Linked DNA regions of Macaca fascicularis. The protein of the gene in region 2 purifies or fractionates together with the protein of the main gene of each other region. This does not show direct contact. Links are inferred from orthologs where the notes say so. Each region holds a gene or a part of one and is shown on either strand. Other genes may lie near its edges.

Region 1 (4,298 bases), on a different chromosome or scaffold from region 2:
AAATACAAAAAATTAGCCGGGCGCAGTGGCGGGCGCCTGTAGTCCCAGCTACTCAGGAGGCTGAGGCAGGAGAATGGCGTGAACCCGGGAGGTGGAGCTTGCAGTGAGCTGAGATCTGGCCACTGTACTCCAGCCTGGGCGGCAGAGCGAGACTCTGTCTCAAAAAAAAAAAAAAAAAAAAAAAAAGAACCAGCGTTCTATGTCACCAGTGTGTCCCCAGCACTGCCCAATAATGGTTAGGCACCACACTCTAAAAGCATATGCAAAATTTACATTCCTGGTTTTGTTTTATTTTATTTTATCTTTTTTTGAGAGTCTCTATCACCCAGGCTGGAGTACAGTGGTGCAGTCTCAGCTCACTGCAACCTCTGCTTCCCAGGGTTCAAGTGATTCTCCTGCCTCAGCCTCCCAAGTAGCTGGGACTATAGATGTGCGCCGCCACACCCAGCTGATTTTTAGTAGACACGGGGTTTCACCATCTTGGCCAGGCTGGTCTTGAACTCCTGACCTCACACGATCTCCCACCTCAGCCTCCCAAAGTATTTTTAGTAGACACGGGGTTTCACCATCTTGGCCAGGCTGGTCTTGAACTCCTGACCTCACACGATCTCCCACCTCAGCCTCCCAAAGTGCTGGGATGACAGGCGTGAGCCAGTGCCCCGGCTGCTGGTTTTGCTTTCTTCAAGAGCAACTTCACTGGTGACCTCAAACTGAATCCCAGTAAGCTCCTTCGGTTCTCCTGACAATTTTCTTGAAGTGATAAGAGCTAACATTTATCCAGCCCTTACTAGCTGCCAGTTAACATAAAAAAGAAATACTGCAAGGTTTAGCTAATTTAATCTCACCCAACATCCATGCAAAAAAGGTATTATGATTTTGCTCAGTTTTTACATGTAGAAAATGAGATTCAATAAAGGTGATAATTTACTTGAGAACGTGAGAGGGTCTTTCCCATTTCAATAACTGAGTTTTTTTTTTTTCCTTTTTTCAGATAGGTTCTTGCTCTGCCCAGGCTGTAGTGCAGTGGTGCAATCATAGCCCACTGCAGCCTCAACCTCTCTAGCTCAAGCGATCCTCCCACCTCAGCCTCCTGAGTAGCTGGGACCACAGACATACCCCACCCACGCCCAGCCTTTTTTTTTTTTTTTTTTTTTTGTAGAGACAAGGTCTCGCTTTGTTGCCCAGGCTGATCTTGAACTCCTGTGTTTAAGTGATCCTCCTGCCTCTGCCACCCAAAGTGTTAGGCTTAACCACCACGCCCGGCCAAAAATTGGGTTCTTAAGCAGAATTCTATACCGGTGGCTTCAACCACTTTACTTGCTATGTGACCCTGGGCAAGTCACATCACCCTGTCTCAGTTTCTTTTCCTTTCTTTTTTGAGACGGAGTTTCGCTCTTGTTGCCCAGGCTGTACTGCAATGGTGTGATCTCGGCTCACTGCAACCTCCGTCTCCCGGGTTCAAGCGATTCTCCTGCCTTAGCCTCCAGAGTAGCTGGGATTACAGGCACGTGCCACCATCAGGCCTGGCTAATTTTGTATTTTCAGTAGAGACAGGGTTTCTCCATGTTGGTCAGACTGGTCTCGAACTCCCGACCTCAGGTGATCCGCCCACCTCGGCCTCCTAAAGTGCTGGCATTACAGGGGTGAGCCACCGCGCCCTGCCTCAGTTTGTTAGTTGAGGAATGGGAATAACAACAGCCTTCTTCCTACAAGCTTGTTGTAAGAACTAAATGTAATCAACATTTATATAAAAGCACATAGACTAACCCATGATACAGAGCGTTAGCCACCATTACGGTACATTTTCATTGTGAGCTGATCACTGAAAAAGCCGGTGACCCAAGAAAGCCCCAGTCCTTGCCCTCACGGAGCTCAAAGGCCACTGGGAGGAGAGAGAGCCCCACGACAGCTCAGAGGAATCAGGGCGTGATGGGAGATGGCCTCAGCGTATGGGAAGTCAGCGGCAGCCACGTGAAGGGACAAGGGAAGGCTTCCTGGAGGAAGGGTCCTGTGACCTCAAACCTTGTAAGATGAGCAACAGTGACCAGGTTAAAGGGCAGAGTGTAAGATGAACTAATGGAGTGTTGAAGACAGGAAGTAGTTTGTGTAAAGGCCAAGGGGTTAACTCGAAGTTTGGCTGGAGGAACACTTAAGAAAGAGAAGCGGATGCAGGGGGTGGAAGAGGGACCAGCCCGTGCGGGACAGTCTGGAGTCCGGACTATCCCGAGAACTCACCATCCTTCTTGATCTTCTCATTGAGGTTGTTGATATAAATAGTGTGGTTAGGGCGGGTCTCGGGAACTGCCATGGAGTGAAGTGTTGAGGTAAGGCTTAAAGGAGGAAAAACGTGACTTTAGCCCTGGGTTTCGCCAAATCCTTTGTCCCACCGTTGGCTGCTCAAGGATCTTCCTCCCAAAAGGAAGTCAGATAAGGCGGGAGTAGGGGGAAGGACCGAGGGAAAGCGCGGGCAACAAAGCGTGCGTAGGACCCGCTTCTCCAGCACGCGTGCAGAGGGAACTCTCGAGAGATTTACTACGACTTCCAGGATGCTCTACGCGACCCCGTGGGCGGAGCGCCCTAAATGGCGACTCCCATTGGCCCATGCATCCGAAGGGCCGTCCTGGAGAAAAACCCGGATGTGGGAGCCAGTATAGAAAAAAGGGGACAGGTCTTGGGCAGCCTGGCCTCGAGCAGCAAGTTTCCTCAGACGGGCCCAGGAAGGCCCGGACGCCAAGCGTACCGCTCGCCCGCCGCCGATGGTCGTTTGCACCCCAGGTTACCTTCCGACAGGACCGCAGTTCTCTCAAGCGGCGCCTGCTACTTTCCTGAGACCAAACCACGAAGCTTTCTCTCCTGGCACCGCCCCTGCCTTTCTGCCAGGCAATCTCCGCGCGGAAACGCAGTAGCTTGACCAATCAGAGCAAGTCTCGTTTCTGGGCTCAGCTCTTGCCAATCAAAATGATATTTGAGTTCCCGCCTAGGTAGAAAAACCCCGCCCGACTCCCTGAAAGCCCACCTCCTTCCGTGACTCCCGGGTCTACGGACCAATCAGTAAAGGTCACTAGTATTTTGCCAATCGGGACGCGTCTGGCGCTGTGATGTCTTCCGGAGGCAATCCTTTTTGAAGTCCCGCCTCTTCCCCCCAGCGCTGCGTTTTCTGTCACGTGATCGCCAAATGGGCGGGCACTGTTGCGTGTGATACCCCGTGATATGGGAAAAGCGGTGTGCGGGGGCCGCCATTTTCTGGGAGTGGGAGGTGTACCTTACTTCCTGACTCCCTTCCCTTTTCCACCGGTTATCACGGCGCCCACCGGCTTCTGATCTCGGAGTCTTCTCCAACCCACAGACGTTTTTGTTGCTCTGGTTCCGGGACCTTCTCCACAACTAGGCCATTTTTCCTGCCAGGTGTCCATTTTGACCTCTTGACCTCTGACTCAAAGGTCAGCCCAAAGGTTCCAAACTCGGGCCTGGGATGTGAGGGGGTAGTGAACCTAAGTTCTCCGAATCTTTAGCCCTGGGCTCCTAAGTCGCACCCTTAAGGCACCTCACTTTAGGTCTGAGCCTTCATATCCCAAACTTACTCATGTGTTTCCACATCTAGCCCCAAAGAATGAGTTAACTCCTACTGACTGTCCACCTAAGACTCCCAAGGTAACCCAACCGGTACCACAGATCCGGTTCCGGATTTAAGGACCCCACCCTGTTAACTGTCAGGTGCCTTATGACTTGAGTCACCCTCAATTCCTGCTCCCATGGTTTCAAATATTAGCTGTGGTCCTTTCACACCCACTGCTCAGCCCCCAGATTCTGGAACTCAGCTCGTAAATTTTTAAAATTTCCATCCCTGAGACTGTTCTCCGTTGGAGGATCCTTCCCTCCCCACCTTCTGAACCTCTCAGCCCCTCCTGTAGACCCCAAAATGACTTCTCCATGCTCTCCTCCCGTAAAGCCACCAATCCCTCCTCCAAGAACCCCTGTACCCCAAGCCAGCAGCATTCCATCTCCTTCTCTACCCCCAAGTCCCCTGGACTTTTTAGCTATACCATCCCCTCCCTGGAGTCAGCAGACCGCTGTTCCCCCACCGCCCCCACTGCCTCCTCCACCCGCTGCCACGGGGCCTGCTCCCCCTCATGTCTTCGGCCTGGAGAAGAGCCAGCTCCTGAAGGAGGCCTTGGAGAAGGCTGGCCCAGTTCCCAAGGGCAGAGAAGACGTGAAGAGGCTCCTGAAACTGCACAAGGACCGGTAGGGTCTCCATGCCCCACCCACCACCCAGGCTCTGCCCTAGTCGCTTCTCCACA
Region 2 (4,098 bases):
GATGCCCTCGCTCTTTGCCTCTACTCCACTGTCAACCAACATTCAATGCTCAGGTGTTTTGTGAAATTCCACTGGAATGTTCAGCATTAACTATGCCATAAGTACCAATATTTTTTCTCCAGCAGCTTCTTCCCCTTAGTAAACAAAGGGTCAAATCTCTTATCTTAGAAAAATGAAGTTTCTCCTCTGCCTCCATGTTCCTTTCTGCCGCTGCCTTCTCCCGCCCCATCCTCTGGCAGCTTAACATCCTGAGTTCTCTTCAGTTTGCTGATCCCACTTCCCTGCCTCCCATTTGGTCCCCATTCATTTTAAGTGCTCTTGACAAAGTCAAAAACGACTGCCCACAGCCATTATCTGGGTGTGAATGGTGACCACTCCTTCATGAAAACTCTCAACTCCTAGACCCCATTCTTACCTGTCTTCCCATCTTGCTCACCATTCCATCCAAGTTTCCTTCCTGGTCTGTTTCACCTCCTGCTCTGTGAAGTTGGAGATCCCCGCTCCCACCGCCCAATTCTGTTCTTGGTTCTCTTCTCAGTTTTGACAGTGTCCTCCACTTCCCCTCCTGCCTCTATACAATCTGGCCCAAACTGATGTCCCAGAACACTCTTGCGTACTGAACAGCTTCGGGTCCAGCTAACTACTGGGCACTTTCATCTCTAACCTCTTTCCTCAGGAATAGCTACTCAGTCGTCCATGCCACAAAGTTGGGGCTCCTCTCTCTTCCTCAGCTTCCACACTCAATAATAATAACATTGATCAAGTTGGGCACAATGGCTTGCACCTATAATCCCGGTGAGTCAGGAGGCTGAGGTAGGAGGATTGCTTGAGCCCAGGAATTCAAGGCTTCAGTAAGCTACGACTGCAACACTTGCATTCCAGCCTGGGTGACAGAACGACACCCGGTCTCTTAAAAAAAACTTTTATCAAGCACTGAGTAGATTCCAGGTATTTTTCCCAAGCACTTTAAATATACTAATTCTTATAACTCTTATAAGAAGCCTATAAGATTAAGTACTCTTTTTTTTTTTTTTTTGAGACTCTGTCTTGCTGTCGCCCAGGCTGGAGTGCAGTGGCATGATCTTGGCTCACTGCAACCTCCGCTTCCCAGGTTCAAGTAATTCTCTCCCGAATAGTGGGGATTACAAACATGCACCACACCTGGCTAATTTTTTTTTACTTTTAGTAGAGACAGGGTTTTGCCATGTTGGCCAGGCTGGTCTCAAACTCCTGACCTCAAGTGATCTGTCTGCCTCGGCCTCCTAAAGTGCTGGAATTACACGCGTGAGCCACTGGGCCGGCCAAGTACTCTTAATATCTCCACATTACAGATGACAAAACTGAGAGATGGAGAGCTTAATGTCCAACTGGCAGAACCAGAATTCTAACACACCACTCTGGCTGGAAAGCCTGCCCACCCCTCTGCCCTAATCTAGGCCAGGCCTTCAGCCCCTTGGAATAGCGTGACTGGCCTCCCCTCCTCGTAGTGACTCTCCACATGCCTGCCTACCTGAATTTCTGAAACACAAATGTCACTATTTGGCTTAAAACTCTCCCTTTTCTTCCCATTGTCTACAAGGAAACGTTCAAATCCTAAGAAAGAATTGCATCTCCTGTCACCACGCTCTATGCTTCAACACTTGTTCATTTACTCTTGATCAGAGACACCGTTTGATTCTTAACTCAGTGTCTTTGTGCATATTATCTGGCCATTACCTTATTTTCTCCCAACGCCTGGGAAAATGCCAGGGACACACAGGTACTTAAATATCTGTGGAAAAGGCATGGCTTCTTCAGTCATGTCCCCCTCATTCCAAACCCAAAGCAATGATCAGCATATATGCTCAATAAATATTTGCTGGATGAATAAAGGATGTTATTTCCCTTCCCTAGTCACCTGCCTGGCAAACTCCCATTCCTTCTTCTAAAAGAAATTTACCTCTCACTCCCGTGGGCTTCCCTACCTTAATATCCCTTCTACTCCAGCAAGCAATGTTGACTAGATTTGTACCTGAAACTTCTATCACAGGGCATATCACACCGTACTACAATGGTTTATACACATTTGAGATTCGAGAGGTTTATTAAGGGCGGGCTGACACTGTATCATTGACGGCCATCGGAACAATAAACATTTGGTGAGCATTCTCGTGTATCTGTCTTCTCGTTAGCCTGTGAGCTCCCCGTGCCCTATTCATTCCGGTAACGTGGGAGCGTGGCACGGTGTCTGGCTTGGGGCAGACACCGAAATAGATGCTGAGAATTAACATCCAAAGATGTACCGCCCAGGCTGGGAAAGTGGGCATTACTGGGGAAAGGCTGGGGCCGGTGGCCCCAACTGCCACAGAAGATCAGAGGATGGGCTGGATCAGCGCCTCTCACACTTACAAATCAATCACCTTAGGATTTTGTTCAAATGTAAGATCCCTATTTAAAAGGTCTAGGGCGGAGACTCCACATTTCTAAGCTCTCGGCTCGTGCCGACGCGGCTGCTCCGCGGACCACTTTGAGAACCCCGTTCAGAGCAGCTGGTTTCGTTACCAGAACCACCACCATAGCGCGGGAAGCGCGCAGCCTCCTGGGATTTGCAGTCCCTCCAAGCCCTTCATAGCGGCCGCTTATTCCCGCTCAAGTAAGTAGCGCCCAGGCCCACGCTCCGGCTGCAGGTTGAGGGGCGGGGGAGAGGTACCTGTTTGGGCTCAGTGGCCACGGGCGGCGGCGGGGGCACCGCCTGCACGGGTCCGGCCGGCATGACTGCGACGCTGAGGGCTGCCAGTCCGCCTCGGTGTTGGTGAGGAGTGCCGCCTCAAGACAGCCTCCCCGCTCGAACAGTACGACGAGCTCGCAAAATGGCGGCAGCCGAGCGAGTTGTGGCCGCGAAGGTAAGACTGACGCACTTCCGGGACCGCCCCCTCGCCGTGGCGCGCTTCCTGCTCCTCCCCGCGGGCACCGCGGCATCCGACGCCGTTGTCAAGGCAGCGGCTGGAGCTCCGGGCTAGGGGTTTCCGGGGTTCCCGGGAGCCGCAGGCGCGCCGGGGGCAGTTCCCGGAGCTGACCGGATACAGAGGCTGAAACCGCGACGCCGAAGACAGGTGAGATGTTCTACGTCACCCGCCGGACCCCCGCCGCACTCAGCTCGCGCCTCCTTTACTCTACAGTGCCTCGCTCAGTGCCAGTGCCTCGCTCCCTTCGACACCGCCTTCCAAGAGCCCAGCTCCCTCCCATTGGCCTCTCATTTCGGAGAGCCCCTGTGCCCTAAGGCTCGCCGCCTCAGAGCCCCGCTTCCCTATTCCCTTAGTCCCCCCTTTCATTTCAGGCCCACATCCTCCAAGCCGCTCTTCCAAATCCTACGCCCTTAATTCCCTTTTCCCATAGGCCTGCCTTTTCTTGCTTCCACCCCCTGCCTTCCGTAGTCCTGATCTCAAGCCTCACTGGGGCCTCCCTCTCAAATCAAGGCTGCTGCTTTTTCTTTCTTTTTTGTTTTTTTCTGAGACAAGGTCTTGTTCTGTCACCCAGGCTGGAGTGCAGTGGCGCGATCTTGGCTCACTGAAACCTCCGCCTCCCGAGTTCAATCGCTGAGTTCAAGCAATTGTCCTGCCTCAGCCTCCCGAGTGGCTGGGACTGCAGGCGCCCACCACATCCGGCCGTGTGTGTGTGTGTGTGTGTGTGTGTGTGTTTTGTAGAGACGGGGTTTCACCACGTTGGCCAGGCTGGTCTCGAACTCCTGACCTCAAATGATCCTCCCGCCTCGGCTTCCCAAAGTGTTAGGGTTACAGGCGTGAGCCACCGCGCCCGGCCAGTTTTAAAATTTTTTTTGTAGGGACGTGGGAGGACGTCTCCCTATGTTGCCCAGGCTGGTCTCAAACTCATGGAGTCAAGCAATCCTCCCACCTGGCCTCCCAAAGTGCTGGGGTTACACGCATGAGCCATCACTCAGGGCTGCTGCTTTAGGCTTCACCCCTCACTCTCACAGGTGCGCCCCTGCAAGCTATGCAGCTCGCTCCCCAGAGGCCTACCTCGACTCCTGCCGGCTTTCTCTCCCTCTCCTGAGATCCCCACCCCCTTCCTCCCCTCCTCAACTCCGGAAAGCCCGGAGCT
Region 3 (4,284 bases), on a different chromosome or scaffold from region 2:
CTGGTCCAGCCTCAGTCCTGACTGGTCTAGCCTTGGCCCTTTTGGGTCAGCCTTGATCCCATGGGTCCAGCCTTGACTATAGTGTCCAGCCTGGGTCCCATGGGTCCAGCCTCAGTCCTGACTGGTCCAGCTTAGAATCCAAATGTCACAGAACAGATACTGTAAGTTTGAGCAAACCATGCCCCACTCCCGCCCAGCTGATGCTTCCACTCTCCACCCTGCCTGCTTCTCCCCACCTCCTATTCCTGGCCCTCATCATGGCTGTGGTTTTACTCTAGTTCATGCCATCAGCTCACATACATCCGTCTTCCTAGTTAGACTAAAAGCTCCATGCAGGTAGGGAGTGTCTTAGCCACACTGTCCTCAGCACCCATCTCTATGCCTAATGTGAAACTGGCGTGAGCAAACTATTTGGAAAATAAAGACATGAATCACGGACAAGACATATGCATCTCCTGGTGCCTCTTCCCACATCCAGTCTGCTGGGTGACATCCTATACCGAGCTAGTGTCACAGTGAGGCAGTTTCTGGAAACTAACCTGGGGAACCAGCGTACCTGCTGGGCTCACCTTGAGGAAGCGCCGATAGCCTCGCACAGCTGTCTCGGGCAGTGGGTGTGAGCGCAGGAAGCGCAGATACAGGGGCCAAATTCGAGAGTGCTGCGTGATGGGCAGTGCCCGGAGGGCACGGTCGAAGGTGCGGCGGGTGTGTGTGACGCGCCCCTGGTCCATGAGGAACTGGCAGTAATCTAGCCACAGACGGGGCATCTGGGGGTGTGGGGAGAGGCGGCTGGGGCTAAGCCACGGACTCCATGGCCTACCCACAGACACTTGATGTCCTGTGGCTGAGTCACACCTGGGGCCTCCACATAAATGCAGCAGGACCCAGAAACCCCCAGCTCCAGGACTGAGTCCAGCCCAACTTCCCATGCACAGAAGCAACAGGATTCCAGGCCCCCATCCCTAACATGCTGAGCCCAGCCCCTGTCGCTACCCCACCCACCACCATGGACTGAGCCCCCCCTCCCGATTTATCCCCTCGCCTAGCCCCAAACCTTGTGCATGAACACAAAGGCCCTCTCATGGCAGTTGTTGACATCTTCGTAGGCGGGGTCGGTCACACAGCGATGCTTCACCTGTGCCCGACGTGCCTTCAGGTATCGGTACCAGAGTTTGTAGCTGGGGAACAGGAGGGGACAGATGCTGATCGGTCAGCTTTATGGACCCCCCCCCCAGAACCATCTGCCCTGCCCCTGTTGGCAAATGTGGGTGTGGGGGGGGTGACATGTCTCAGCAATGACAGGGACAGACTGGGACATCAGAGGAGGTGTGCTGACCCATCAAGGGATGTACAGGTCAGTGATGGGACACAAAGCAATCACCTGGGACCTACTTGGCAGTTTTGTTATAACTGGACCGGGGGGGCAGGGGCTGGTGGGCAGGGCAGCTGGAGCCATTCCCACCTGCAAGGTAGCAGCTTGAGTGCCCGCTCATATAGCTGATTGAGCCTGGGCTTCGGGGCGCCCTGTTTGAACTCGATGTAGCGAAGCCAGCATTTGACAGAGAACTGGTTCCGCATGATTTCCTCCTCATAGGGGAGGTCCTCTTCCTCCTGCCAGGGCCAGGGAATGGGGAGAAGAGAGGTCTACCCTCAGAGCCTGCGTGCGGCACCACCCCACTACTGGGGCTCAGGTCCAAACTCTGGACTTTTACCCAGATCCCACCACCCACCAAGGAAGTCAGGTCACCAGATGCCCAGGCACCAAACCAGGCACCAAACCAGATGCCCAGACACCAAGACACTGGCCCAGACCTTTACCCCTCAGAATTCAACTACCCAAAATTGAACCCAAATCATCAGACTTCTCAGTTATTAGGGCTCTGGGCCAGGCATGAGTCCACATCACCACTCGCTTTCTGCCCCAAATGGTCAGACTCCTTAGCTACCAAGGCCCTGGCCCAGATGCCAGGCCTCTGTCCTGGACACCAGACCCCACTTCTTCAAAACATGCCTCTTCCCAGACACCAGGCCTTTGGCCCCTCAGGCTCCCACTGTCACCAACTGACCCATCTCCACTCCAGGCCCAGACGACCAGATCTTCACCCCAGCCACCAGGGCTCTCAGGTCCAGATTTCAAGCCACTGGCCCCACCCCCAGGATCCCACTAGCCAGCATCTAGCTCAACTCTGCCCCAGAAGTTAAAAGCTAGGACTTTATCTCATAAGAGCAGTTATACACCAGAAGCCAAGCCTTTAACTCTGCACACCAAGAATCTGGTGAAGATGTCACGCCTCTACTCCAGACAATAAGCATTTCATTGGCCATTGCCTGACAAGCTCCACAACACCAGGGTTCTTCTAGCCTGGCCACCACCCCCAGAAACTGTCATGCCGCAGTCCAGACCTAGAGACCGCTATCTAGAAAACCAAGCCTTCATTCCAGAAACCGGAGCCCTGGCCTCGTAATCACGCCTTTACTTCAGACACCGGTCTTCACTTCTCAACGTTCAATTATGCGGTCTCCTTCCTCTCCCATTCCCTGCAAGCCCCCATTTCCGCCCCTGGCTCGGGAGGCTAGACGCTTTCCTTCGACAGTAGTTTTCTACTCATACCCTAAGACACAACACCGTATTTTTTACTCCTGGCCAGTTAGGTGTGGACATCACAATCCGGTCTCTGGCCCGTTAGGGTCCCCAATCCTTGGCCTGGCAATTTTGGCCTAAATCCCCTTGGCGACCCGGCCCCGATCCCCTGCGGCGTCCAGGTCCCAATGCCCCAACGCAGGCCACCCCTGGCTCCTTTGTGGACTCACGAAGACAAGGTCCGGCCGCTCGGGCCGCGAGAGTCGCGCCATCACCACCATTTTCCTGGATGCCCAGGTACAGGCGAGAGTCGCGCGCTTATGACATCTACCACTGACGGCCCGCCCCTCCGGGCCAGACCCGTTTTCTATTGGTTAAATCCTTTTTGACGGACAGGCTCACGTTATTGACTTCGTTTCGAAGACGCCAGCGACCGGAAGCAACATAGAGACGCCCGAATTACGTCATCAGGATACACATTGGCCAATCAGCTTCAGCAATGGAGCGTGCAAAACACCAATGAGCTTCTGTCTTGCTGGAGGGTCGGCTTTGGGCGGAAGTTGCTTTGTTGACCGGGAGAAACGAGATGGGGGTGAAGCTGGAGATATTTCGGGTCAGTGGACACAGGAGTGGATTGGGAGGCTGAGCAGGGGATCTTCCTGGATCTGAAGATGAGGCTGGAAATGGGGGTCTTAAAAGAAAGAGGGTGCTCCAAGGAGAAAGCTCTTAAGATTTGAGAGGGACCTTTCTGGTTGGAAATCCAGGAGAGGGGACGCTGGGTTGTGGGGTGGGGGGGTTCTCAGATTTGGGCTTCTGGGTTTGGGGGCTGTGAGAGGGCTGGTCCGAGGAAAGACCTCAGAGAGGGGTTGGCTGAGAAGGGGGCTCTAAAGAAGGAAGACTTAAGATCCTGGGGGAGCTCTCGGGCTTGTGGTGGGTGGGTGTCTATGATAGGGAGACTCCCAGACTTCGAGAAGTGAAGTTGAAGAGTGACGCCTCCTGGGTTTGGGGGTGCTCCCGGGATCTTAAGTGGGGATGAGTAATGAGGTCTCGAGGAGATGCTTTTGATTGTAGCTCGGGCCTCTGTATGTCTGTCTGTCTTTGAGAGAAAGACTCCAGCTCAGGGGGGACTTTCAGGAATGAAGCCTCCTGGATTATAGAAGTTAGGTTTTAGGATGCGAGGTTTCTGTACCCTTGGTGGGAGTTCTGGGGTTCTTGGGTCGGCCCTAACGAGGCGCTTCTGGACTCTGCAGTAGGATGGGTCCCCCAGGCTCTGAGCAGCCTCTGCACATTGCTTGGGGCGAGGGGGGCGGTCACCTCACCCACCCTCTGCCATTCCAGATGATACTCTACCTCACTTTCCCTGTGGCTATGTTCTGGGTTTCCAATCAGGCCGAGTGGTTTGAGGGCTACGTCATACAGCGCAAGGTGGGCATAAGAGGAGTGTTCGAGGGTTCACTCCAGGGGTGGGAGAGGGTGCGGGGCACCAATCTGCTGGGGGCCAATGTCTGCCTCCCATGAGCTGACCCTACCCTGGTGTGGGGCTCTGGAGGCTCTTGGCTTGTGTCCCAGTTGTGACTTTTCCTTACAGAGGGAGCTGTGGACACCTGAGAAGGTAAGTGATCTCATCTTCTTCCTGCCAGAGGGATGGAGGAGGCTGGATGCTTGTATCTGGGATGGGTTTCAGGTGAAAATTTTAGGCCAGG
Region 4 (3,645 bases), on a different chromosome or scaffold from region 2:
ATCATCAGATGCCTCTTCTCGAACCTCCCCGTACACATCTTCATCACCTTCCTGTGGAAATGGCCCCAACTCAACCATTATCTGGAGCTGATCCTGCATCACCACAGAACCTCTCCCTCAAGTCACCCTAAATTAGCTCAATGGTTAGAGAAATGGCTTTGGGGTGAAACCGAGAGCCTACTGGAACCAAGGTCAGCCTTATTCCAGTGGACATGTAATAGAAAGACTGCTTGGCACAGACTTATTAGATGCACCTACTTTCTGTTTCTTACCTTAGGCTGCCACAATGGCAATCAACTGGACCATAGCCTTTTTCTAATACACAAACAATCAACACTCAAAAACAGTGATCAGCTAACAGAAGAGAAGAGCTATGCAGAGGCACGTCTGGGAAAGCAGATGGTGACTCGGGAATGAAGAGATCACACTAAGCTTGCTCACCACTCCATTTACTCATACACTGCACATTAGGCATACTTGGCACAGTGTCATAGTCAAAGCAGGTGCTTCAGTAACGAGCACTGCTAAATGAATGAACTGCTACAAGCAAAGCAGTTTGTTGCTACTTAAAATCATCAAATCCTATTAACTATACTGTAGGAAGTGGCTTAGCAAACACCTATTGAAATCGCCTCATTTTATAGAAAGAGAAACTGAGGCAAAATGACCTGCCAAGATACAGGACTCAAATTCAGAAGTCTTGGCTCCTAGTCCTCTAACTCTCCCCATGCAACCCCTTCTTCCAGCCCTGGTATATATACCAGGGATCCATTTTCCCTTTCAGGAGCCAAATCTACTCACTGAGAACTCTAAGGCACTCTGTAATTTTTTCAAAGTACCCCACTTATTCCTATTTATATTCAAGGAATTCTATTAGACGGTAAACATTAACTCCAGTGACTTAACCATGTACGAACTACAGCCATGCTCTAAGGCAAATGTGCAATCTTTTGAAACAGGCAGTGGGGACACAGTAATGAAAAAAGGGAAAATATTGTAATACGTTTAAAATGCAGTAAAACATAGCAGATACATTCTCAAAGTATTCACTGTACTTTATCTTTTGTCTTTCTTTTTGCTGATCCACTTGGTATATTTTAAATAATTACGTTGCTTTACATTTGTTAGTTTAAATTTGCTGTAGAAAAGTTAAAAGATAACTGCATTTTTTTTAAGCAAAAGAACATATAATGCCTAAGTCTGAAACCCACACACCACCATAAAATGTATCTGGTTTAAACTAGGGAGCTTCTTTACACTACAAGGGGTCCCTTTACCTTCATCAACTTCAAAAACAAGAATGGACTGGGCCTGTTTATCACTCACCTCCTCATCAGACTCAAACTGCACATTCACACCATATGTCTCATCAATGTTGTCATCTGAAACGACGAAGGATTAGAAAAAGAGGGCAGTGAATGGCTAGTAAAACAAGCCACTCTGGAGCCAATGTCCTCCCCAACTACCTCTCCTCAGGAAAGATCTAAGTGCTAAGGACACACACAGGCACTTAGATGATCAACACGAGAGAGCCACCTATGCTGCCACTGCCAAGACCTTCTCCACCTGCCAGCCCTGGAGTCAGCCCAGCTCTGCTTGCTCAACCACTTGAGCCCCCAAGGCTCTGCCCACATTTTCTCCCATATTCTACACAACAAAAGGGTCTCAGAGTAAGGAACAGCTGCTGAAATCTAGGGATTCTGGTGTCTATCAATTATAACTCTTCAAAAAACACACAACAAATTATGGGAACTCACTGACACTAAGGTTTTTAAATGAATGATGCTAGAAGATGCATACTTAGGGGTCAACAACAACCAGTTAACATGATCAGGACATAAAGAGCTCACTTACCCATATTTTGGATTTCCTTGTCTCCACCATAGTCGGTGATCTTTTTTCCCAAGTTCACTAGCACGTGGTATCTGGTATCATCTGTTTGACCCAGCAGCAGGTCAATCTCCTTTCGCCTTTCCTTGTCCCGCAGCTTTTCATTCTTTAGAACAGCTAGAACCTCATCAGCTGCCCCACAAAGGATATCACGTGGCTGGTAGCAAGAAACAACCAATCAATATTGAGAATGATGACAGACAGAACATCACCAACCAGGTTTATGTGGCGGCAGGATGCAAACAGCCACACTTTCTCAAAACCTGTTGCATACTAGGCTCTGATCTTTCTCATTAATGCTGATTTAAAATGCCACAACTAAAGGAAGACTCATCTGTTTTTAAAAAGATTAGCTAGGTGGCCTCAAGCAGCAGGACACAGCTTCCACAACAGCTTGCCACATCTCCAGGTGGCAGTCACTTGGCAGATCTCCTCTAGCCTGCCACACTTTTGTAATTCTTTGTCCTCACTTCCTCTAGCACCCACATCAACAGAGCTCCTCAGACTCATAATGGTCCCCAATCTAATCACACATGTGTAACGGTTAGGAACACAGATTCTAGATATAAACTATCTGGATCGTATCTTGGCTCTGCCAAATACTACTTCTGTGACTTGGGAAAATTACTTAATTATTCTTGCCTCACATCTCTCTTCTATAAAATGGAAAATGAGTATTAACAGCACCTATTCACGGAGTTACATGAGGGGGTGAGAGAAAGACACGTGCTGTTCCACACAAATCGAGTGCTCAGTAAATACAAGCCCCTTCTGCAGACCAGTACATCCCACAAGGGGATCCAGAGGCAAGGTTCATCTGGAGCCTCCCAGTTGTGACCCTCTCCTTTTCTGACACACGGTCTCATCCTCTGGCCGCCTCGCTCTGAGAATATAGAAATAAAGCAAACTTGGCCGGCTGTGGTGGCTTGCAACTGTAACCCCGGCACTTTGGGAGGCCGAGGCGGGTGGATCACGAGGTCAGGAGATCGAGACCATCCTGGCTAACACGGTGAAACCCCATCTCTACCAAAAATACAAAAAATTAGCCGGATGTGGTGGCAGGCGCCTGTAGTCCCAGCTACTCGGGAGGCTGAGGCAGGAGAATGGCACGAACCTGGGAGGCAGAGCCTGCAGTGAGCCGAGATCGCGCCACTGCACTCCAGCCTGGGCAGCAGAGCGAGACTCCAACTCAAAAAAAAAAAAAGAAATAAAGCAAATTTGTTTTTTCTATACTTTTACAACAATTAACACAGAAGGCTTCTGTGACAATTCCTCCCCACCAGCAACCAATCCAAAAATTGTGCAGTGGACACAAGCTGGTGTCCTCAAATTCAATTCCGTTCCAACACTAACTACCTGGAGATAAGAGTCAGATCCCACAGGCTGAGGACTCAGTCCCACAAGCCTGCCTTCCACTCCATGATGCCAATCACAAGCACAGGTTGTGTGACCTGTGCTTCTCACTGTACAGCTACAAATCGAGCTTTCCACAATCCCCTTTTGGGATTCAACTACTGTGCTAGAACAGATCGGGACACACTTACTTTTACTGTAAGGCATATTACAAAAGATGCCTACCAACAGACAACAGACGGAAGAGGTGCACAGGGCAGGCATGTGGCAAAGGGTATCATGTGGGAAAGGGTATGGCGCTGCCAGGCCCTCTCAGGCGCACCACCCTCCGGAAACCTCCATGTGTGCAGCTATCCGCAAACTCTCTAAACCTAGTCCTTTTGGGGTTTTTATGGGGGCTTC
Region 5 (4,294 bases), on a different chromosome or scaffold from region 2:
GTTGAGTTGTGCAAGGCAGGGAGCCACAGACTGAGCAACCCTTGGGTGAGGGGAGGGGTTTCAGGACCGATTGGGATTGTGCGCAATGGGCTTTTTTTTTTTTTTTTTTTTTTTTGAGACGGAGTCTCGCTCTGCTGCCCAGGCTGGAGTGCAGTGGCGTGATCTCGGCTCACTGCAAGCTCCGCCTCCCGGGTTCACGCCATTCTCCTGCCTCAGCCTCCTGAGTACCTGGGACTACAGGCGCGCGCCACCACACCCAGCTAATTTTTGTATTTTTAGTAGAGACGGGGTTTTACCATATTGGCCAGGATGGTCTCGATCTCTTGACCTTGTGATTCGCCTGCCTCGGCCTCCCAAAGTGCTAGGATTACAGGCGTGAGCCACCGCGCCCGGCCTGCACTGGGGTTTTAAGTCCCAGTAGTTTTTTTAGGGCTCCTCTCCTCAAGAAAAAAACTCATACACACAGATGTGCCACATTTTGCATTCAATTTCAGGGGTTCCAAGGATACACTGACGCTCATGTGGCGCTCCTTCAGTCTTAACAGTTCACGGGGCGCGGGTTTAAAAAATCCAATCCAGGGCTGGGCGCAGGGGCGCATGCCTGTAATCTCAGCATTTCGGGAGGCCAAGGCGGGTGGATAGCCTGGCTTCAGGAGTTCGAGACACCCCCCGCCCATCTACAAAAAAATACAAAAATTAAAGGGGCGTGGTAGCGTTCATTCGTAGTAGTCCCAGCTAGTGGGAAGGCTGAGGGGGTAGGATCACTTGAGCGCGGGAGGTCGAGGCTGCAGTGCGCCGTGATCGCGCCACTGCACTCCAGCCTGAGCAACAAAGTGAGATCCTATCTCAAGGGAAAAAAACAAAACAAAAAAACCAGGGAACGTGGGAAGGAAGCGTTCCCTAACGATACTAGTTATAGCGGGTCGGAAACTGGGCTATGGAATTTGAGATAACGGGAAAACAACACCCGTTGAAGCCACGACCCTAGGAGTCCACTAAGCGAGCGCCCATTGTAGGAGGGAGGTGTCTACGGAAAGGCCGTGAGGTAGTGAACACCCCGTTGTCGGTGAAGTGCAAGCGCAGGGATGCCGGGGAGGAACTTCCAGCCACGAAGACACTGGCTTAATGCCCTCTAAGTCCTTCCAGTTCTGGGATCCCATCTCCGGGTTAATTCCGCTTCCCTTGAGTAGCGAATGCACAACGGGACCACTGGCTCAAAGAACCCACCCGACCCGCGACGGCGCGAATGTGCAGTGGAGCAGTGATCCCGGTCTTCCCATGAGCCTCTGGGGCCGGCTCCAGGGCGAGCGACGGAAGCAGCCGCTCTTAGTTTCCGGCAACACGACAGCGGCTGCCGAGCGACCCGGAAGTATTCCCATTTTGCGTTGTCTGGGCTCGGCGGTAGCCGGGCTTGGAGTGGACGTGCCACTATGGGGTCGTCCAAGAAGCACCGCGGAGAGAAGGAGGCGACCGGGACGACGGCGGCGGCCGGCACCGGGGGCGCCACCGAGCAGCCGCCGCGGCACCGGGAACACAAAAAACACAAGCACCGGAGTGGCGGCAGTGGCGGTAGCGGTGGCGAACGACGGAAGCGGAGCCGGGAACGTGGGGGCGAGCGCGGGAGCGGGCGGCGCGGGGCCGAAGCTGAGGCCCGGAGCAGCACGCACGGGCGGGAGCGCAGCCAGGCAGAGCCCTCGGAGCGGCGTGTGAAGCGGGAGAAACGCGATGACGGCTATGAGGCCGGTGAGGAGGCGGGGCCTGCGCAGGGGGCGGGTCGGGCAGGGGTCCCAGAACGTGCGGGTCTGGGTGTGCGCACAGTGTCAGCAAAGCTCTCCGGATCGGGAAACCCCCAGACTGTCTATATCAACTCTTATTAAATAGTCTTTCTACGGGATCCCATGAGCCCAGGAGTTAGAGGCTGCAGTGTGCTGCGATCCCGCCAGTGCACTGCAGCCTGGGCAACAAAGCGAGACTCTGTCTCAAAAAAGCTTTTCTACGATTGTTTGGGATTAGAGGTAGACTGTCTCCACCTGGCTCCTTGAGGATAGAGAGCTTCGGTTTTTCTCAGTTGTCTGGTACAGTCACAGATTCTCAATAAATGTGTTGAATGAATGAATGAAATAGTGTCAGCATATGCAGAGGCAAGAAAAACCTGGTATTTGACGAATCGTATTGGACGAATCGTGTAGGGCTCCTGGTAGAGAAATGAAGGAGTAAGATAGGCAGGGATGTGAACGCAAAGGACCCTGTACTGTAGGCTCTGTTAAGAAATGTAGATTGTCTTGACAAGGTAGTAGGGAGCCTTGGCTGTGAGTTGAGGAGTGAGTTGCTCAGATCCGTATTTTGTAAACATTACTGGATTGAGAACTTAGTCAAAGGTAGTCAGGATTGGAGACCAGGAAATCAGGAGGGCTACAGACCAGGTGAGGGCTGATGGTGGCCTGCACCAAGGCAGCAGCAGTGGAGTGGAGAGAAGTGGACAGGTTGGAGAGGTGTTTTAGAGGAGGAATGAACAGAACTCAGTACTTGTATGAGGGTGGGAAGGAGAAGGAATTGAGGATGACTCCTTGAATTTTGGCTTGAGCAGCCAGATAGGTAGTGGGTGTCATTTCTACTGAAATTGAGGAGTAGGGAAGAGAAGGAGATTTGGAGCAGGGTGGGGGAAGATAATTCACTTTTGGGGTTGTCAAGGTTTATGTGCATAGGGAAATCCAGAGTTTGGACTGGATAAAGCCATTGGGAGTCAGTATCTGGGTGGCCAGTGAAGCCCGCGAAAGAATGCGACATGAGAAGCCGGGGTCAGGAATAGAACCTGAGAAATGCCCTTATGTTAGTAGTAGGCAGAGAAAGATGTTACCAAAAAAAGGAGATAGAGTAACCAAAGAGGCAGGAAAACCTTTGTGTCATGGGAACTTTGGAAATAGAGTATTGTTAGAAGGAGGGAGTGATCAGCAGTCCCATATACCACAGGAGATCAAGGAAAACCAGAACTGAAAAGAACCCGTTAGATTAGAAATGAAGGAGACTGGTGACTTTGGGGAGCCTGGAGAGATTGGGATCCAGGGCCCAGGTGGAGAGTGGAGCCTTTAAGATACAGGATGGGAATGCAGGAAAGGAAGAGGTGTTTTTTTTTTTTTTGAGACAAAGTCTTGCTCCATCTCTTTAAGAGACCTTGTCTCTTAAAAAAAAAAAATGAAAGAAAAAAGGAGAGGGCAGAATGGTGACTGTAGCAGTTTGGATCTCTTGGGTCAGGATAGGAAGGTGCGCAGAAGAGGCAGGGCTCTGAGACTGGACTCGGGCAGAGGAGCTGCTGGGGAGCTTGGGTGGAAGAAGCTGCTGTTTTCTGGTGTTTCATCAGGCCCAGGTGCTGGTGAGGGGCCCTCATCTTTGATCCTGCAGTTGGAGGCAATGATGCTGGCTTGTTGGCCCTATGTTCAGCTCCTGAGCCATGCTTCTTCTTCTTCCAGCTGCCAGCTCCAAAACTAGCTCAGGCGATGCCTCCTCACTCAGCATTGAGGAGACCAAGTGAGTACTGTCTCCCTTGTTTCCACTTTGTTTTTCTAAGATAGGTGGCTCTAGGGCCAGCCCTGGGGAGGCTTTCTCACATGAAAGTGTGCTAATTGGAGTTGGAAAGGTTGTATAGATCATTTTAGCCAACAGTAGAGTTATAGAAGAGGAAACTAATACCTAAGAGTAAAGTGGCATTCACCGGTTAGATGCAGACCAGGCTGGCGCCCATGTTTCCTGCTTTGGAGGCCAGGGCCCTTCCCAGTGTCCTAGGCTTCCTGGGGCAGACCGTGTGTTTGGGACCGCTCACTCCCACCCTGTTTCTTCTCCTGTCTGTTTGGAAATGCACATGGCGCCCTGTGTCTTTGATAGCCCCTAACACTTGTATCCTTTGATAGCCCCTAACACTTGTATCTCTTGTTCTCAGTAAACTCCGGGCAAAGTTGGGGCTGAAACCCTTGGAGGTCAATGCCATCAAGAAGGGTGAGTATGGGGCTGAGGATGGGGTTTGGGGGAGAGGGCCATCTGAAGGGGTCTTTGAAGAAGGTGGGATTAGAGGGCAGGTTCAGCACGGTTTAGTGGTCTTACACATGCATATTTGCCGGAAGGCACGAGGTCCCTTCTTGCTGTTCTAATGTGGACCTGGGGCTCTGCTTGTTTTCTGAGTTAGAGCCGTGGCCTTCGCATACTCACTCTGGCTGTGAGGTGTTGTTAGATGGACTGGAAGATGTGCACGCTTGCTGCAAACTGGGCTGTGCGGGGGTGGGTCTGTTGTTTTTCTTTAAAG
Region 6 (4,308 bases), on a different chromosome or scaffold from region 2:
TCTTCCTCATAGAAGGGCAGGTAGTTTACATCTCCCCAGCTGCCGAAGTGGAGCACCTGGTACCCAGCAGGATGTCCCAAGCTGAACCCAGACCTGAAATGTGACAAATTCTGATTCTCATGTTTTATAGTCTAATGTCAACCTTGCAAACAAAGTGATCTCTTAAATAAACTGACTTTTATGCAAAACTAAACGTCCCCTCAAACTAGTTTTAAAAAATCACACAATTGGCTGGGTGTGGTGGCTCATGCCTGTAATCCCAGCACTTTGGGAGGCTGAGGCGGGTGGATCACGAGGTCGGAAGTTCGAGACCAACTTGGCCAAAACACAGTGAAACCCCGTCTCTACTAAAAATACAAAAATTAGCTGGGCATGGTGGCACGTGCCTGTAGTCCCAGCTACTCAGGAGGCTGAGGCAAGAGAATCACTCAAACCCAGGAGGAGGAGGTTACAGTGAGCCCAGATCGTGCCACTGCACTCCAGCCTGGGCAACAGAGTGACACTCCATTTCAAAAAATAATAATAAGGTGCCAGGAAAAGAAACGTAGCCTCGTAAGTGTAGACAATGAAATGAAAAGCGTAGACACGGGTGTCAGCAGACAAGTCTCAACTGACACCTATGTTTGCAATTCGTGCTCAGTTTGGTCTTCGTACACTATCACTCTATAACTGAAGATTCTCAGCATGATTTAGAACTAAATCCTTAGCCCTCCGATTCATCAGATGGGTAAGCTTGCCTAAGGAATGAAGTAACAAGTACCCGTCATCCCAACTCTGTTGCTTTCTGCATTTGGCAGATGATACTTGATAAATATTTGTTGATACATGACAAAAATCTCATTACTTGAGGAACTACCTGTTGCCTACCAGAAAGGAATTGAAAATAAGTGCCCAGGAGGAGGAGGTTGCAGTGAGCCAAGATCGTGCCACTGCACTCCAGCCTGGGCAACAGAGTGAGACTCCGTCTCAAAAAATAATAGTAATAATAAAGACTAGGTGCTACCTCCCTTCCAAGCAGTCCCTCTGGGAGGATGCACAGACTCCAATGGCACTGCTGAAATGCAGAGCATTTGGGAACCTTCTCATTTCGAATGACCTTCCAAGCCTGAAGAAGTCTTCTGGTGTTCTCCGTGGTGGCAAATCTTCCTCCTCTCAAGCTAGTCTCTGATAAGTGCTGCAAGTCAGAGTCTCACCTGATAAGGTAAGTTACCAACCACATAAGACAACTTTTGGTCAAACCTGGAGGGTGACTACTGAATAAAACTGATTTTCCCATATGACTACATTTTTACTACCAAAACAGGAGTTCTAAAGAGGTTTTGGCAAAGAAGCACCAATGAAATACAAGCACAACATTTTGGGACAGTTATTTTCAACAGAGCAGTCCCTATTTGAATGCCTGAGTTCTGGAACATCTGGTTAAAATTCTGACTCATAACCTCACGGGCTTACAATATCTAAATGAAAGTTATCAAGGTTGGTGACAGACCCCACTCGCAAACTGACCAAGCTTGACCACTAAACTGCTTGATAAGGAGGTACTCACCTTGAGATGCTCTGTAGCCGTGACAAAATACAAATCTCTTGAAACACGATCTAGGCCACAGGTTAACTTACCTGTTTGCTTTCTGGAGTGACTCCACAAAGCTTTCTTACAACATTTCAGCATGTCCCACCTAAAATGGGAGAGGAGTTTCCGGCTTTGGGACACATTTGACCGGTTCCAGGGCTGGCTGGGTTCCATACTGCCCTTAGATAGTAAAATTATCAGGCAAAGACTCTCCTCCCAAGGCTGGGAAGCGGGATTCAGCCGAGGTCAAGGCTCACCAGGAGAATCTCAACAACTGAACGGGAAAGGACCACTCTACAGACAACAAGCTGGAAGTGAGTCTCAGGAGAAATGACGAGCGCCTTGCTACACCCCAAACGGTACTGCAGATGCCAAACACTCTCTTCTTCCATTTTCCCAAACGGGTCTGAAGAATGACCTACCCTTGCAAATGAGTTAGCGGAACAAAGCTCATTTAAAACGGCCACTCTAACCGGCAAACTCAGCTGTCACAAAGTAGTCAGGAAAACTTAATTTTTGGCAGGAGCAAGGCTGTAAGTTTCGGTTCTTCCAGCATTATATCTGCAGTTAGTTTATATAAAGGACCCAGCACCTCTGATCTCCTGATCCAAGGGGCAAGGAAGTTACATACTCCTAAGAGACCGGCGCGCGTCTTGGGGCAATCACCACGTCCAACCTGTGCACACTCTGAAGCTGCGGCGCAAGTTCCAGGAGGCTCATGAAGAGCTCAAAGTTCTCCGAAGAGCCCAGAAACAGCAAGGGCTGACCTATTCCGGAGGTTAACCTGGGCGCCTCTCACCGCCCCTTAGCGGGCGGCACACATGTGCCACGCGAGTGGCCCGGAAGAGAAATGACAGCTTCAGGAAAATAAACTCCGCCGCGGGGCGCGGAGGCAGCGCGCGAGGAGCTCAGGCGCTGAGGGCGCCCCAGGACCGCGGGGCCGCTTACGGACGGAACGCGGGGTGGTGCCTGTCTCAAGGTCCCCCTCCCTTGGCCCAAGGGCCAGTCTTCGGTCGGCGGGTCCGCACGGCCGGAGGCGCGCCAGGGTCCCGGGCCTCACTCCCGCCGCCGCCGCCGCCTCGGCGGCCTCCTCCTCCCGCCGCCGCCGGCCCGGCCTCCCGCCGCCCGCCCGGCCCCCGCTAACCTCAGCGCTAGGACGGAGAGGGGGCCACGGCGCTGCTGGAGTCGGAGCGGCGTGGAGAAGACGTCCCTTGGCCCTTCCGTTCCTCACAGGCTCTGGCTCCAGGCTCGACGCGGGCGGAACAAACGGGCTCCACTACCCGCGGGGGCCGGCCATTGTGCGACGTCATCAGGCCGCGACGGTCGTCCTACGGCCGGCGGGCTTCCCTCCCTCGCCCCGCCCCCTCCAGTTTCCTTCCGGCCTCCGCGCGGCTCCGCCCCCGCGGCGCGCGCCCGGACGCGCGCGCGCCCGCTGAGCCCCCGCTACAGCGCAGGCGCCACAGGGAGTTCGCTCCTCGGGAGCGGGAGTCCGGCTCAGCGCCTGCGCACAGGGCTCCCCGTGGCCGCCGGGTCACGTGACGGGGCTCTGGCTCGGCTGGTGGGTTCTTCATCCCTGGGGGATGATCGAGTTCAACGCGGAAAACTTAAAGCGGTTTTCGTCGGGCTGATATCTCCTGCTTTATTGAATGTTGATATTAAATGCTTAGCTCCGGAATTATTTTTTCAGGTATCGACTTTAGATTAAAAGCCTAACAATTCTTACCTCTCCCATGGGCTGCCCAGCTCCCCGCGCGGTTCAACGCGAGCAGCGCCAGCAAGGGGACCTGTCCCGTGTCCTGCTCATCGCGGCGTCCCCCGGGCGCGTCCACAGCCTGGGACGTCCAGGGGCTGCAGCGGTGCGAGCTGCTCTAGAGACGGAGGGCCCGGCCCAAGACCAGGGGCCCACGGTTTCATCCTGCACTGTCCCCTGCCAACGATGTGGCTGGTCCTGGGGGTCACAGGACTTCGCCCACCCCATCTTCCTCCATATCCCCAGGGTGGAAACAAGGGAGCGAGATGTGGAGGAACTGATGAACAGACAAAATGCGGCCTGTCCATGCAGTGGAATGTGAGTCAGCCATCCAGAAGAGTGAAGTTCAGACCCGTGCCACAACGTGGGTGAACCTTGGAAACATATTAAGTAAAGCAAGCCAATCACAAAAGGACAAATACTGTGCGACTCCATGCTATGGACCGAGTTCTGTCCCCCTAACATTTGTATGTGAAGCCGTAATCCCCAATGTGACTGTGTTTGCAGAAAGGGCCTTTAGAGAATTAAGGTTAAATGAGATTATAAGGGTGGGATCCTGATCTGATAGGATTCCTGTCCTTGGAAGACGTACCACAGACGTGGCCCTGTGGCTCACGCCTGTAATCCTAGCACTTTGGGAGGCCAAGCTTGGAGTACCACCTCCTCCAGGAGTTTGAGGCCAGCCTGGGCAACAAAGCAAGACCCCTGCCTCTACAAAAAAATTAACAGGACATGGTGGTACATGCCTGTGATCCCAGCAACTTGTTATGGTTATGTAAGAGGAGTGTGAATTCCACCCTGGTGATTTTGGTCGTGTCAGGAGCAGCCCTGTAACGCGAGTTGGCGCCTTCTGTAGGCTTTATGTGTCGGTAAGACAGTCCCACCCAGCAACGGCCAGTTGACAAACATAAACCTGCATGGACATTACCATCCATGCAAAGGAGCAGCCGGCACCGGCTGTGACCGACACGTGCCTGGCTGCGATCTG
Region 7 (3,645 bases), on a different chromosome or scaffold from region 2:
TGGGAGGGAGCCAGTGGGAAGTAATTGAATCATGGGGGTGGTTACCCCCATGCTGTTCTCATGATAGTGAGTTCTCACGAGATCTGATGGTTTTATGAGGGGCTTTACCCCCTTTGTTCAGCATTTGTCTCCCCTGTCACCATGTGAAGAAAGATGTGTTTGCTTTCCCTTCTGCTATGACTGTAAGTTTCCTGAGGCCTCCCCAGTCACTGGGAGTCAATTAAACCTCTTTCCCTTATAAATTACCCAGGCAGTTCTTCACAGCAGTGTGAGAACGGACTAACACAGTTGGTGATCCTGATCCTGTGTAGGTCTAGGGTAATGTGTGCTTGTGTCTTAGTTTTTAATAAGAAAAGTTTAAAAAGTAAAAAATAAAAATTAAAAAAATTAGAAAACAGAAAAAAGCTTATAGAATAAGAATGTAGAGAGACAATATTTTTGTACAGCTGTACAATGTGTTTTTGTTTTAAGCTAAATGTTATTACAAAATAATCCATTTTTTTAAGTTTATAAAGTAAAAGTCAGTTAAGGCTTATTACTGAAGAAAAAGCTATTTATGAATTTAGTAAAACCTAAATGCACTGTGTTTATGAAGTCCACAGCAGTGTACAGTAATGTCCTAGGCCTTCACATTCACTCACAACTCACTCACTGAACGCAACTTCCAGTCCTGCAAGCTCCATTCATGGCAAGCAATATACCAGTGTACCATTTTTAAAAAATCTCTTCTACCTTATTTTTACTGAACCTTTTCTATGTTTAGATTGGTTTAGATACACATATACTCACCACTGTGTTATAACTGTACTCACTACATGTAATATGCTGTACCGGTTTGCAGCCCAGGAGCAGTAATAGACTACACTAAGGTTATAGCAACAGCCTTGGTGTGTAGCAGGCTACACCATTCAGATACGTGTGAGTTCACCCTACAATGGTCACACATGATGAAATCACCTAATAAGACATTTCTCAGAACATATCCCCATTATTAAAGGATATATAGACTGTATAAGCTTCAATCATCTGACCTTTCTGCAGGTCTAATATAATGTGGGCCTCCCATGCATATGCACGTCATTAAAATGGCTTTCCTCCTGTCACTCTGCCTAATGTTCATTGATTTCAGATTCAGTTATCAAACCTTCAGAGGGAGGAGTTTTCTCTCCCTTCAGTAACCTGCCCAATGCCACACGGCATGAAGTGGCAGAGCGACTACTAGCATCCACTGCCACGCAGTCTGACTCAGTCTGCTTCCTTAGCCATAAAGCTCTGCCTCAGGTGGTAACCGAAAGCTGCTTAGGTAAATTCATGCAAGTCCTAGAAATTCCTAACCCAGTGAGGCTTCCCTCCGGGCCTGGGCACCTAGAGACCCCAGGAGCCCAGGACCAGCCTCTACCTGTAAAGTGAAGAATCTCCGTCCATTGTTTGCAGATGTAGATCTGGACATCCGTGCCCCCAAGGGCTAGGTAGGTACCACTCTGGTCAAAGATCAGTGACTTTACCTGCCAGAAACAGAAAGAGAGAAGGTCACACAAGGGGAACAGAAACTATGGGGCAATTGCGGATAAGCAGAAGCAATTAGATTAATTCAATAAATAATCGACAAACAAGGAGACACAATGGAAAGCTGGGTGGGGCGGGGGAAGGGCATACCTCGAAGTTGTTATCCAGCTGCAATGTCTTAAAGTTCTTAAGCTTGCGCAGATCCCATAGCTTGACAGAGGAGTCATCAGCCGCTGTAGCCAGGTAGTAACCATTCTCAGAGAAGGCGATGCTAGTGATGGGGCCCGAGTGGCCAGGGAAGTTGGCCACATTAGTACGTTCCTACAGTGGTGGTGGGTAGTAAAACACGTCACCCACAGATCATGAGAGGAAGAAAATGGAGCTCACCAAACCCCTACCTGAGATGTCCCTCACTGTCCTTCCAGGAAGGCCAGCCAGCGGGACCCCGCAGACCACACCATCATATCACACAGGCATAGCCAGCGATGGCCCCTTCAGTGCCAGGTGCCACAAGCACCTCATCAGCACCACGTTGTCACAAACACCCGCTCTGGCCCTGGGCCTCAGATGGAAGCCCACCGTGTCCTACCTTCAAGTCCCAGATCTTGATCTGAGAGTCCATGGTTCCTGTGCCAAAGATGAGTCCATCAGGGTGGAACTGTGCACAGGTGAGAGCTGTGGAGGAGGAAGACGGACCTGTGGTCAGAGCCCACCAGGGAGAGACTAAGAGCAGCAAAGTTAGGTTCCTTGTTCTTCACGGTCCTCAGTGCACCCAGCACAAAGCCTGCACTAGGCAGGTGCTGATGGTAAATGTATCTTTAGAACAAATAAGCAAACGACTAAATAAAATGTAAAAGTAAATAATAAATAGCAAACAAAAAGGCTGAGCGCCTACGAGGCAACTTACAGCAGCCAGAGGTCTCATCTGTCACCTTGGTGAGCACACGCCCTGTCTGGATGTCAGAGAAAGCCCAGTACTGGGGGGAAAAAAAAAGAGAGAGAGAGAGAGAATGGAGTCAGTGAGAAAGTGGGTCCCAGGCTTTGGTGGCCTTTCAGGTAGACAGAGCCCCTGGTCTGGTAAACCCTGGCAAACCTAGCACCTCCCAGCAGAGAGGAAACATTCTCCTTTGAGGTTCTGGGGAAGCAGCTGGGGTGGGAAGATGTTCCCGCCACCCAGGATGTTCAAGCTTGGGGACCAGCAAGCCTCTCCAGGGCACTGGCTGGGACCGCACCTGATCATCGGAGGAGCTCAGGAGATAGTCACCAGTGGCGTGCAGGCTGAGGCCTGTCACAGCACTCTCATGGGCCCGAACCACCTGTACACAAGAGGCATTGGGGACCGACCAAATCCTGATAGTGGCATCGGGGGAAGCAGAAAACACCAGGTCCTACAAGGAAAACAAAGACAGAGTATCAGAGTCAGAGAAGAGACACAGATCAAAACAATGTTATAAAAGGAGGCAGGGGATGCCCAAAACTACCAACAATTGCTTCACCTTTCAGCCCTGCCCTCCCTGGAACCACCTACCCACCCAAAGGTGCCCACAACAGCCAATGGTAAACGCTATTCAAGTCGTAACTCATACATCATCAGGGCTTGTGGAGGCGTCCGCGCCATCTAGTGGTAAAAAGGCTAACTGCAACAGAGAGCAATTTTCCCATTTCCAGGACCAAAGGAAGAATGTAGCTAGTATAATTGAGGGACTGAATTTTTTATTCTATTTCATTGAAATTTAAGTAGCCACATGTAGCTAATTGCTACTGTACTGTATGGCACAGGTCTGGGCAGTACGGGGACTCGAAGGGGCTGCATGGCTGTATTTCAGTGCATCCCACATTTATGGATTTCCAGGGTAAGTTAGTTTTCCAAAAGATTTGGGGCAGGGAGAGAATTTCGTATCACTCACTCACCAATTTTTTGTTTAGTTAGGATATTAAAAGCCACAAGGCAAAAATAACTACCATCTTTATCAATACAATTTCATGAGACCTAACTATTAATACCCCATAAGCAAGAAAACAGTGCCCTCGATTTGAGTAATTTAGTCATGAAAAATTCACCATGTCATTCTTACATTTCTCATTTCCCTAAGGTCCAAGGGAAAGCTCGACTGGGAAGCGCTAAACCAACCACTGTCC

The links.
Region 1: the proteins of SF3A1 (region 2) and SNRPA fractionate together in Homo sapiens (co-fractionation; 3 studies listed by BioGRID and IntAct, with this or other methods). This does not show direct contact. The link is inferred for Macaca fascicularis from reciprocal best matches to the Homo sapiens genes SF3A1 and SNRPA.
Region 3: the proteins of SF3A1 (region 2) and XAB2 fractionate together in Homo sapiens (co-fractionation; 3 studies listed by BioGRID and IntAct, with this or other methods). This does not show direct contact. The link is inferred for Macaca fascicularis from reciprocal best matches to the Homo sapiens genes SF3A1 and XAB2.
Region 4: the proteins of SF3A1 (region 2) and SNRNP200 fractionate together in Homo sapiens (co-fractionation; 3 studies listed by BioGRID and IntAct, with this or other methods). This does not show direct contact. The link is inferred for Macaca fascicularis from reciprocal best matches to the Homo sapiens genes SF3A1 and SNRNP200.
Region 5: the proteins of SF3A1 (region 2) and SART1 fractionate together in Homo sapiens (co-fractionation; 3 studies listed by BioGRID and IntAct, with this or other methods). This does not show direct contact. The link is inferred for Macaca fascicularis from reciprocal best matches to the Homo sapiens genes SF3A1 and SART1.
Region 6: the proteins of SF3A1 (region 2) and ZC3H18 purify together in Homo sapiens (affinity purification with mass spectrometry; 3 studies listed by BioGRID and IntAct, with this or other methods). This does not show direct contact. The link is inferred for Macaca fascicularis from reciprocal best matches to the Homo sapiens genes SF3A1 and ZC3H18.
Region 7: the proteins of SF3A1 (region 2) and PRPF19 fractionate together in Homo sapiens (co-fractionation; 3 studies listed by BioGRID and IntAct, with this or other methods). This does not show direct contact. The link is inferred for Macaca fascicularis from reciprocal best matches to the Homo sapiens genes SF3A1 and PRPF19.

What each region holds. Positions count from the first base shown.
Region 1 is NC_088393.1:47,864,422-47,868,719, reverse strand, and holds the start of SNRPA (U1 small nuclear ribonucleoprotein A), read right to left. Parts: upstream 2,852-4,298; 5' UTR 2,741-2,851; intron 2,331-2,740; 5' UTR 2,309-2,330; coding exon 2,236-2,308; intron 1-2,235. Other genes in the region: ACTMAP (actin maturation protease), read left to right, coding at 3,920-4,242. UniProt on the Homo sapiens protein: Component of the spliceosomal U1 snRNP, which is essential for recognition of the pre-mRNA 5' splice-site and the subsequent assembly of the spliceosome. U1 snRNP is the first snRNP to interact with pre-mRNA.
Region 2 is NC_088384.1:21,310,755-21,314,852, reverse strand, and holds the start of SF3A1 (splicing factor 3A subunit 1), read right to left. Parts: upstream 2,845-4,098; 5' UTR 2,753-2,844; coding exon 2,690-2,752; exon of another isoform or gene 2,608-2,689; intron 1-2,607. UniProt on the Homo sapiens protein: Component of the 17S U2 SnRNP complex of the spliceosome, a large ribonucleoprotein complex that removes introns from transcribed pre-mRNAs.
Region 3 is NC_088393.1:8,365,630-8,369,913, forward strand, and holds the start of XAB2 (pre-mRNA-splicing factor SYF1), read right to left. Parts: upstream 2,887-4,284; 5' UTR 2,863-2,886; coding exon 2,812-2,862; intron 1,612-2,811; coding exon 1,463-1,611; intron 1,179-1,462; coding exon 1,055-1,178; intron 768-1,054; coding exon 570-767; intron 1-569. Other genes in the region: protein PET100 homolog, mitochondrial, read left to right, coding at 3,168-3,194, 3,920-4,006, 4,170-4,193. UniProt on the Homo sapiens protein: Involved in pre-mRNA splicing as component of the spliceosome. Involved in transcription-coupled repair (TCR), transcription and pre-mRNA splicing.
Region 4 is NC_088387.1:1,383,542-1,387,186, forward strand, and holds part of SNRNP200 (U5 small nuclear ribonucleoprotein 200 kDa helicase), read right to left. Parts: intron 2,048-3,645; coding exon 1,855-2,047; intron 1,383-1,854; coding exon 1,327-1,382; intron 52-1,326; coding exon 1-51. UniProt on the Homo sapiens protein: Catalyzes the ATP-dependent unwinding of U4/U6 RNA duplices, an essential step in the assembly of a catalytically active spliceosome. Plays a role in pre-mRNA splicing as a core component of precatalytic, catalytic and postcatalytic spliceosomal complexes.
Region 5 is NC_088388.1:8,433,587-8,437,880, reverse strand, and holds the start of SART1 (U4/U6.U5 tri-snRNP-associated protein 1), read left to right. Parts: upstream 1-1,371; 5' UTR 1,372-1,430; coding exon 1,431-1,743; intron 1,744-3,358; exon of another isoform or gene 3,359-3,448; coding exon of another isoform or gene 3,449-3,467; coding exon 3,468-3,525; intron 3,526-3,934; coding exon 3,935-3,990; intron 3,991-4,294. UniProt on the Homo sapiens protein: Plays a role in mRNA splicing as a component of the U4/U6-U5 tri-snRNP, one of the building blocks of the spliceosome. May also bind to DNA.
Region 6 is NC_088394.1:84,469,417-84,473,724, reverse strand, and holds the start of ZC3H18 (zinc finger CCCH domain-containing protein 18), read right to left. Parts: upstream 2,879-4,308; 5' UTR 2,715-2,878; intron 1-2,714.
Region 7 is NC_088388.1:13,374,848-13,378,492, reverse strand, and holds part of PRPF19 (pre-mRNA-processing factor 19), read right to left. Parts: intron 2,895-3,645; coding exon 2,739-2,894; intron 2,484-2,738; coding exon 2,414-2,483; intron 2,182-2,413; coding exon 2,096-2,181; intron 1,828-2,095; coding exon 1,657-1,827; intron 1,506-1,656; coding exon 1,400-1,505; intron 1-1,399. UniProt on the Homo sapiens protein: Ubiquitin-protein ligase which is a core component of several complexes mainly involved pre-mRNA splicing and DNA repair. Required for pre-mRNA splicing as component of the spliceosome.